2 linked regions of the Kluyveromyces lactis genome follow. The protein of the gene in region 2 purifies or fractionates together with the protein of the main gene of each other region. This does not show direct contact. Links are inferred from orthologs where the notes say so. Each region holds a gene or a part of one and is shown on either strand. Other genes may lie near its edges.

Evidence for each region. Proteins that work in one complex are often made in the same cells at the same time.
Region 1: the proteins of RPB8 (region 2) and RTR1 purify together in Saccharomyces cerevisiae (affinity purification with mass spectrometry; 3 studies listed by BioGRID). This does not show direct contact. The link is inferred for Kluyveromyces lactis from reciprocal best matches to the Saccharomyces cerevisiae genes RPB8 and RTR1.

What each region holds. Positions count from the first base shown.
Region 1 is NC_006042.1:1,172,350-1,177,091, reverse strand, and holds RTR1 (RNA polymerase II subunit B1 CTD phosphatase RTR1), read right to left. Parts: upstream 3,029-4,742; coding exon 2,393-3,028; downstream 1-2,392. Other genes in the region: RRG1 (Rrg1p), read left to right, coding at 1,138-2,280; EMP65 (Emp65p), read left to right, coding at 3,286-4,742. UniProt on the Saccharomyces cerevisiae protein: RNA polymerase II subunit B1 C-terminal domain (CTD) phosphatase that dephosphorylates 'Ser-5' of the CTD and regulates RNA polymerase II during the transition from 'Ser-5' to 'Ser-2' phosphorylation.
Region 2 is NC_006040.1:609,934-615,803, forward strand, and holds RPB8 (DNA-directed RNA polymerase core subunit RPB8), read right to left. Parts: upstream 1,607-5,870; coding exon 1,169-1,606; downstream 1-1,168. Other genes in the region: KLLA0_D07117g (mitochondrial fission process 1 family protein), read right to left, coding at 1-636; putative iron-binding protein ISU2, read right to left, coding at 2,415-2,957; HER1 (Her1p), read left to right, coding at 4,517-5,870. UniProt on the Saccharomyces cerevisiae protein: DNA-dependent RNA polymerases catalyze the transcription. of DNA into RNA using the four ribonucleoside triphosphates as substrates.

The sequences.
Region 1 (4,742 bases), on a different chromosome or scaffold from region 2:
ATTAGTATTCATATTTCAAAATTTAGACATTTCAGCCATCCTTGTCGGCTCCTTGATAAGAATTAATCGGGGAAGGGACATGAAGCGAGACATAGGGACATGGGTTCGCTGGGTTTCCCCTTTTTTTCCTTTCGTCAGTGGGACATTGGTAAAAGTTGTGAAGCATGGATCGCGTGGTATGTTGGTTGGTCTTTTCGCACGAAATGCGTGTGTTGACAATCGCACTTTAAAGTGCGATTGGTCAACAGCAAGCGCGTGCGCGTGCGCACGCGGGAGGTTCCGAATGTTTTTGATTTTGGGCTTCGCGAAGCCCAAAAACCAATTAATTGATTAAATTAAAAAAAAATAAAAAGTGTTTAACACACAGGGGCTCCGCCGGGAATCGAACCCGGGACCTCCCGCACCCTAAGCGGAAATCATACCTCTAGACCACGAAGCCATTTAGGTCAAATTTTGGGAGTTTGACTGTTCTCTGAAGTGATCAGCACGCAACAGGGCTGGAGAAATACTAGAAACAGTAATCGCGTAGCTCGGATGATTTATAGTGAGTGTCATGAATAATCACGTACCACAACTGATTTAGATAATTGTCGTTTTCTTCCTCACTGTTACTTTGAATATAGCGGAGATTGTTATGGTTTTGCATCATTATGGAACATAAAGAGACTTTAGAAGTGATAAAATGAGAAAAGGAGTTCGAGGATAGAGATAATGCTCTACTAGTCATTCAACCGAAACTTGGCAACCACAATGTTTACAAATCAAACAATATTGTGTGTAGCTTGGTAGTAGAATTTGTTGCTGATTTGTTGCTTAAAGTACACAGGAGGCAAAAAAAAAAAATTAAAAAGAAAATGATTTCGCCCAGGATCGAACTGGGGACGTTCTGCGTGTTAAGCAGATGCCATAACCGACTAGACCACGAAACCACTTTGCTGTAAAATGACGTCTCACACGGCACCATACGAAGCATGTATAGCACGCTGATCTGTATGTTTTCAAAGTTTATGACTATTGTCAAGATGAGATGAGATGCGATGACATGAATAGATGAGTAGTTGAAAACAGGAAGAATTCAAGGTACATCCTACTCAATCTTATCAAATTGATGAAGCTCTACAAAGCAGAATTATATCAATGGTACGACCATTTGGAGAGATAGGAAGTCATAGGAAACACGTATTGGAATGGTACAGATATTCATTACGAAACATTAGGGCCAACGTACCCACTGATAATCTCCAGATTGAGCTTTGGAACACATTGAGACAAGCAGTACGACGTAACAGAAATCATAAAGCTGGCTGGTACGTACGTGGATTATTGGAGGATCTCTCTCATCTGAATAAGTATATTGTCGGCGATGATATAATCAAGCTAGTTGCTCTAAAGAACAAATACACAGAGCAGATCGAGCCTGCTCCAGAACCGTTGCAGCAAGCGAACAAACCAATTTCTGGTGTGGTGGTAACTGAAAATATGGGGGATGAGAGTCGAAGGGAAAAAAAGAAGCGATTAGCACCTATTCCTGGTGATGGTGATTTATACCGCTACCTTCTTAGATATTATAAAATATATGGTCCGACTAAAACGATACCTCGTAAACATATCGACGAGCTACTCAGACCTCTTGCAATCCACGAGAGATACTGTAAAATTTTGTACAGGATTGAGTACCGCATTGCCAAGGGCCCCCCTAAAGTTTCTATTAACTACACCAACGCTGGCCAATCCCGAATTTGGTTCATACGATCTCCATTCAATAGGAAGGCACGCCAGTCTAAGAAATTGACAGGAATCATAATTAAGGCACGGCTTAGAGCTCAAGATAATCTCGATAGATTTAGGGAGTGTGAATCCAAACTTTTCTATGCATTTCAAGAAGCACAATGGGAATATACATTGATTCACAAACAACCATGTTCACGAAAATTCAATGACGTCGTGACACAGATAAAGAGTGGTAAGTCCAATGACATCCCTGCAGTGTTCATCGACTGGATAAAACCAATCCTCGAAGATATGGACATTCTCAACCGGATAAATGCTAATACACAGCGTAAATTCACCGAAAGTAGAGATCACTTAATTGACGGAAAACAATATGAATATTATAAACAACTGAACCAAAGACTTTATAAAAAAAGGCTTGAACGATTCTTGGGCTTGAAAGCAGAGTTACCAACGACAAACCCATTTACCGAAGAGAAAAATTTAGGTGCTTTGCTTGTTAAATGGAGGTTCCTTAGACCAGATCAATTAGTGAAAGTTAAATCGTAAATAAAACTATTTTATGTATGACTATATAATGCAGGATTGTCCATATATTTTGAGTTATAGAGTCAAAATGCTCTACCTCAAATATGTTTGTACTTGTCATCATTCTGTCATTTCATCTATCTCGTCCTAAATCTCCAATGATATTTGGCTCGTTGATCTCTACGATCTTAATATCAGCTAACATGTCACTGATATCCCTTTCCATTTCCTCTCTACTATCATCGTCCGCGAGTTTCAAATCAGTCATACCACGAATCATCTGCTTAACATCAGACTCTCTAGCTAGTACTTCTTCGAGCAATTGTATCTCACTAGGTGGCTCATAATCGTCAAGATGTACACCGACCCTAGCAAACAAAGCCTCGTCTGAGAGCTGAAACTGGTAAAACTGTGAACATCTAAAATGAGCCTTAGTACAGTATTCTGTAAGGTATGCATATGGGTTATTTTGTCTTAAGAAATTGGTCATCTGTACATCTGCGAAGGGATCACGTACTCTCGCCTGGCTTTTGCTACAGAGTGGATATCCACAACGCTTCACCAAGTTCCTTTCTTGGACTAGATCCGCATAATCCTGTTTGGTAAGGAACCTTGAAATGTATTTCATCGTCCTTGCATCTTTCACGTCTTTTGTAATCAATAAGTCTATTAAATTGATACTTATAGTTTCCACTTCCCTTATGGTCAATTGTCGATGGTTTGTATAGGGTTTTAATACAACCTCTTTGATTTCTTCAATGGTAGCCATTGCTATAGTCTAATTATTTTGGTAAATTATTTCACGGTCGTAGTTGGTCAAGCAGCTGTATGAGGTCCCTTATTCATGTGCTTTTCTTAAGTTTACCTTCTTTACTTTGGCACTATCAACCCTTCGATGTGATTTAAGCAAGGACTTTATTTTAATTCAATGTAGATCGAATTCGAGCAGACAACAACAACAGAAGAAAGAAATATCCATGACGAAGTAAGGTCCTTAGCACTAACCGGTCAGTTGTGCCTCAACAAATGAGTTCACAGGATTCTGAAGCCCACCTCAAAAGGCGAAAGGCGAGGTCTAAGGAAAGCAGTTCTGGTGCTGGGAGAAGGGTATCGGTTGAACAAGACGTGAATACGGTGTCATCATCGATAAAGAACTTTATATACCAGGAGATTCTTCCCCAAACAGCCAAGGTATTCGAAGAGGAACCATGTGATCAGAGTGAGAAGTCTGTTGAATATGATCTGGAGCAGATTGCGAACATACTGAGGGTACCATTCCAAGTCGAGCAATTCTTTGTCTTTGCGATATTGACTTGTTTGAACTGCTTCTTGTATTACTTTACCATTATACCACTTAGGGTATTCCATGTATTAGTGGTGAAACGAGATGGTCCTAAAAGAATACGACAAGAGCTTCTTACTACTGCGATGATTCTTGGACCCTGTTCGATATTGAATGTCCTTGACACCTCAAGAATATATCATAAAATTAAGGGCCAAAATGCTATTAAACTATACATGATATTTCAGGTTCTTGAGATGACAGAAAAGCTCTTATCAAGTGTTGGCCTTGATCTATATTCAATTATCATGCTCAAGAAGAGTGCCAAACATAAGACAGAGATGGTAATGCTATATATTGCATGTTGTTTATGTTTAAGTTTCCACGCGTTGATATACATCTACCAGATTCTTGCCATGAACGTTGCGGTAAACTCGTATTCTAACTCCTTATGGACGCTACTGTTGTCAATGCAGTTTTCAGAGTTAAAATCTGCAGTTTTCAAGAGAATTGATAAAGAAGGATTGTTCCAATTGACTATGGCTGACGTCGTGGAAAGATTCCAGTTGATCGTATTTCTAACGGTCATTGCAGTGAGAAACTTTATCGTAGCAAGAAAGAGCTTGCGCGATGTTTTACCACACTCATGGAATGTTCATTCTACACAGTCCTTGATAGTTGGTATATTTATAGGGCCGATTGTCACAGTAATTGGAAGTGAATTGATAGTGGATTGGATCAAGCACGCATATATTATCAAATTCAACAGAATCAGAGCGCATATCTATGAAAGGTATTTGCAAATTCTTTCCAAGGACAACCTATCCAACAGTATCCAATTCCAAAAGAGGTTAGGTTTGCCGTTCCCGCCACTAATAGTAGCCTTCCTAGTACTGGTATGGCCTGCCATCAGGCAAACGATCAAGAATAATATCATCTGGTCCACTGTTCTGATAATATTTGGATTCCTATGGGCTCTACTCACAAAGCTAACACTTCAAGCAATACTGTTGAGATGGACGTTACATATCCAAAACAAACAAGCCAGCTTGCACCCAGATCCTTTGTATATCAATGGCCATCTCTCTGCTGGAAGAGGAATGATGGATGAGGATGCCCGCAAAATGACACACTCTAGCCAGACAAGAACTTATTCACCAACAATTACACCACCAGGATCGCCAAAACTCGCTGCTTTTGA
Region 2 (5,870 bases):
CCGATGATTGCCTGGGAACACATATTTACTTAGGAAATGCTCGATTGGCTTATCAAAAGCGTAAGGTAGCATAGGAACAACGGCCAAACCAATACTGATTGGACCCCAAGTTCTCAGCATGGCATTTTTAGGATACTGTTTGTTAAACCAGTTACCACTGTATTTCACCAGAGAATGGATGGTAAATGCTGGAAGCCCCATAGAAGCTACACTTTGGAAGATTAAACGTTCCAATCCTACCATTTTCCAATCTGGGGAGACGTTACTTTTCAATACCTTATTGTTCTCGGACAACTCGTCCCATGGTTTCCAGCCTGAAGGTAGCTGGTAACCTTCTTGCTTCAACTTCGCACGGTATGTTATGTACGACACATCACCAAGGATATACAGCCACGAAATACCGTATCCTAGTTTAACGACAGCTTGTGGAAAAACCGGTCTAAATGATTCACCAATATCGGAAGTGTACGCGACATATCTATGTGCTGTTAAAGCGATAGTTCTCAATCTGCTCGCATAGGCTGCATAACGGATATTGGAATCTGTAGAGTCCGGGAACTCTTCGTCATTAATTGGATCAGACTTCTGAACCGGTATATCCGTATCAGTTTCTACCATGTCTATTATCTCTGACATTCAACTTGACTGAATAATGCACCCTTGCCTATCGCCAAAGAATCAAAAAAAATATGGATTGAACACTAATAACCCCTGTATATGGGTAACCTAACAAAATAGACCTTCTTCTATATTTATATATCTACTGCTAATATGCTCCTTCAACGCCCGTCTCGAATATTTTGCCATCAACTGGCAATGGCCGAACCCTATTTATTGAGGTCATTGGATCCTAACTTTTCTATTTTCGAGAAAAAAGACGGCTTTAACAGTTTCTATGGTATCTCCTCTTATACAAAGAAGCACAGAATTGAAGAATCCTCGAGCAAAAGAAAGAGCAACTTCGTTATGCTGTGGTGACTGGAAGTAAGAACAGTTTGAAGATAGGAAGCTAAGATGGAAAGTTAAAAATGCATTAATATATGAGGAGAGGTGTAAGTAAAGGCCGTAGCTTCCGGAGGAGTGAAGAACCAGAGCTTTGACCTGAAAGTCTATTATACAGTTGTCGGTTTTCTATTTTGACTATGATATATAGTACCCACAAGATTTCTTACTTACGACACAATAAGTAAGCGTTTTCTTGTTTCAAGTTGTTCAAAAGTCTATAATTTCCCTCAAGTCTCATCAACAAGCCACCAAATGAATAGTATACTGCAAGCAAATCCTTGTTACCCTTAACTTCTTCGAATTTGTAGGCAGTTCCGTACATGACATAGTCATAATCATCTGCAAGAGATCTGGTTCCAGCAGGTGGTGCTCTCCAAGAGGTACCCTGAGGTTCCTCCGATCCGTCAAGTTGGAGAGAAGTTGTGATCATGACTGCAAGTTGATCTTGAGTCTTTATTGGGAACAATTCACTGTTGATATCCAATGTTAACTTACAGGATTCTTGTGAAGTCGATTGAGCTTCAATACGAGAGACCTTGTTGTATCTTCCTGTGTCCACTTCTTGAACGGTGAAAACGTCATCAAATAGTGCCGATGACATGACGTGTGTTGGTAAATGAGAGTACTGTTGTGTTGGTTCTAGTTATTAAAGTCGGTGGGCCAGTAGGAACACAAATGAGAGACGAAAAAGAAGGGAACTTATCGGAGAGTCTGTAGTGGGTATGAAAGGTTTCAAACTAATAATTTCACTGCTGATATGAGACTATCTACAGTGAGCCGAATCGAAAGCGCATCACATGTATATGATTGTCTGTCTCTCAGTTGTTCCTTCAGGCGATGAGTTACAACGAAATTTTTCAAGATTTTTCTTGCCCATGAAAAAAATATGTGTCCGGGTAAAAGAAACAACTTCGGGTAACGCTAATCAATTTGCCATCCCTTAGAAGTCCGAAGAATCCAGGATACAGAGAGACGGTCCGCTCAACTCTGCAACTAGTTGAAACGCTTGTCGGAACAGTCTGGATGATTATAATACAAATGATGAATGAACCTACATGTTAGTTATACACTAGATAACAACTGTTGTAAAAAAAAGGGTAGCCAAAAAAAAAAAAAAATTACGAATCATGGGCAGTTGATAAGGCACGATAAATGGAAGTACCTAATCTTGGAATTTAGCTCTCCTAGATAGCTTTCAGAAACTGTATGATATATTCGGAAAAATATAGTGTTCGATTTAACTTTGTAGTGGAGTTAAAATGCGAGGGAAAATCGTAAGTCAAACCAAAAGAATTAAGGGAAAGACGAGTATGCTAAAGTCCATTCAATGGACAAATGAAAGTTTGAGCCGGAGAAGCAATAAGAAAATTAGAGATTAACTAATTAATTTAACTCTTAACTCTAACACTCTATTTCAACTGTGTTGTAGGTCTCTTAGCCTGGTAATCCTTGATGGCAGCCTTGATGGCATCTTCAGCCAACATAGAACAATGCAATTTAACCGGAGGTAAACTCAATTCTCTGGCGATTTCTGTATTTTTAATCTTTGCTGCATCTTCCAAGGTTTTCCCACGGACCAATTCGGTCATGTATGAAGAAGAAGCGATGGCAGACCCGCACCCGAACGTCTTGAACTTAACGTTTTCTATCACTCCTGTTTCGTCGTTAACTTGGATTTGCAATTTCATCACATCACCACAAGCTGGGGCACCGACAAGACCCGTTCCAACATTTGGCAAATTCTTGTCTAGAGACCCAACATTTCTTGGGTTTGTATAATGATCAATGACCTTTGGATGGTAAAATCTAGCAGAGGCCATGGAAGGACTAGAGCCGACGGTAGGAGCAGTTGCTCTAGCAGCTGCTACACCGATTATTCTAGTTCCGCCTCCACCGCCGTGCATTAGTGCACTTCCCATCCTCTGTACTGCAAACATTTGTCCTCTAAACATTTTTAATTATGTGTATGTGTTTTGAATGTTGATCTGTTATCCTGAACTACTAAACCTTGATTCAATATCTGGATTATTGAAGATCTTCGCTCTTGCTATAAAATTACAGTGATGCATATTATATACACAATAAATGACTCTTATATATATATAATAAAACTCTTAAAAATCCAAAATTCCAGGCGTCGAAGTTTAAATTTCTAATACAAAATATTCCATAAGCGTGGTAAACTGGGAAAAAGTGTAAAAAGAAAAAAACAATGAGAAGGAACAAAGAAGATACGGGGAGAAAAGACAAAGCAGCAGAGGATACAAGCGTTAACAGCGGTTTCGTATTGTCTTATGTAAGAATCTTTATCCAATGCTACAGGGTGGTGTAAGTCTTGATAAGGAGCCGGCGTGTTGCAAGGATATCATTATCATGAACTATTTGCTATAGGAAGAAAGGGAAGAAAGAGCAGTGCAAAACAAGTGACCGAAATACAATTCCAAATCGGATTCGGATTTTAATTGGATTTGAATGATGATGATGGCAGTATGACATATGTTGACATTATGCTGTGCGCTCTTTTCTTCATGCCACCCAGTTTACAAAAGTTTGACTGACTCCTTTCACAATTTTTTTAGTTTTGATGGTTACCCTGGTTTAGTCTCCCGAGTCGTGTGAACAAATTCCGTGGATATTAATTACCACGGTAAGAACGAGCCTTCTCTTCCCTTTGGTCGTCCCGAAACCAGTGCCAGGGAAAAAAATATTGAAAGTTGAAAATTGTGGAAAAGGCGGCGCGGCCGGCGGCCCACACCGGCAACGGACGGAGGTCAAGCGGGGGATAATTACAGAAGGATAGTGGGGGGAGGGACTCTCCCCGCAAGCTGATATGGTGAGGTGTGTGGGTGTTGTATGGGAGACCGTCGAATGCAGTGCTGCGGACGAAGATCTCTTGTTTCCGTTTACTAGTGGTCTTCGGTGATTCATTATTGACATATTTTTTTCGCAGTCGTCGCCAGTTCGAACCCTCATTCGATCCTAACTGCCATCAATTGTTTCTTTTACATATACTACTTATATGTTTGTCTTTTCTGTTTTTATTCGTAATCCTATTTCCCTCCCATGCTTTATTTCGCTCAATTTTAATACATTTTCCAGACATAATACGATGAGCCTTCCATCTATCTTCCTTGTTTCACTCTTCTAAAATACGTCAGTTGATGCATGGATCTCGATCTGCTGCGGCCAATTGTACGGGTGCGTTACTTTTCTTACATTAATAATAATTTCTCTCTCTATGGCGGTTCTGCCCTGCCCACTTTGTAACTATTTTGAGAATCCACTTAGTTTTTCTGAATCTTATATTGTATCTTTACTATTTGGTGATAATTATAATTGTAATATTGAATGTTAAGTATATATTGTATTTATTCTAAGAGCTTAGAATTAAAGCTCACTTTTTTTTTCTTGGAAATGGAACGGTCAACTAGCCCAATATAATACCAGAACTAATCCCGTTACTGCCCAATTTTTTGTTTCTCAACAGACTATATCAGGAGTGTCAGTCTACATGCCGAATTCGTTGGATCTTGACGTCGAAGTGGATTGGTTATATAAGGGGAAGAAGAAGGTCAGAGCGAATAGGAGATTGGACTCCTCTTCAGCTCCACCGGCTACTCCCTCTGCTCCTGCTCCTGCTTCCACTTCTGTTCCTACTCCTGCTCCTGGGTCTGCTGGTGTTGCAGAAGCAACACCAGGGGCTGGCACTGACGGTGCTGGACCAGAGAACTCTGCAAGTTCAGAACCTGCTCAAACTCCAACTCCCGCGGCAAAGACTCGTAATCGGTCAAGCTCACACTCGCAAGCGAGTCTGAGCCAGACTGCAGCTAACTCTCCAAATACGTCTGGTCGCTCTTTGAAACCATCATCTGCTGTCCTTCGGAGGAGCAGCTCGCTGGGCGAAAAACCAAAGAAATCGTTGTTCGGTTCTTTGTTCAATAGGAAACCGCTGCAACCGCTGGAGTCCCATACAAACGTTTCATCCACATCATCTTCGGTTCCAGCTCCGGTGACTTCTTCCTCTTCTGCGTCGGGCCATTCTGCGTCGACAGCATCGTCATCGTCCTCGCCAACGCAGGCTTCGACCACAGCTGCTCCGGCTTCTTCTTCTTCTTCTTCTTCTTCCTCCAGAGGAATACCTATTCCTATCAACATCTCGCAATTTGCGTCTCATAGACAACAAATATCCCAGTTCCTTAAGGAACCAAACTCTCCGGAAGTTAAGGATATGGCGCCAATTCAACACGATCGTGTCGTGTTGAACAAAAATCCAAATAAATCGAAGCATCCACTGCCTATCAAAGAATTGACCGAGATTAATTTGAAAAGAGTTACTTTTGCAGTCGATGAATTTGGTATGGACCCTCCTCAACAAATTCCTTCGAGAAAGCCAAAACTGGGTAACGTTCTTGTTCCAAACGACATGATCAGTGATATCCCTTCTATATCTCAAGGTATTACAACGACAGCCCAACCTTCCTCACATGGGAATGATCAGCATGGTGCTCTACCAGCATCTGCTTACACAAAAGATTCTAAAGAATACCAACTTGCCTTGGAAAATCATAAAAAATGTCTTAAGGAATCGGAGAAACATCAGCAAGAAGCACATTATGCGGCTCAAAGAATTGCCTCCGAAGTTGCCGGTTTCAAATTAAAACCTTCTACTTCGACAGACCTAAAGCCTTCTGCCAATGGTACTGTGCCAAAATCTGGAGCAGCCACCGACGATGAAGCAAATGCTGAAGCGGGGGTTGTGGCAGATGAAAAGATTAAGTCTTTGGAGATTGATAAACCTATACATATGCATGAACATCATTTCAAAGAATCTTCGGGTTCTAGTAATGGAACTGGCTCCGAGCATG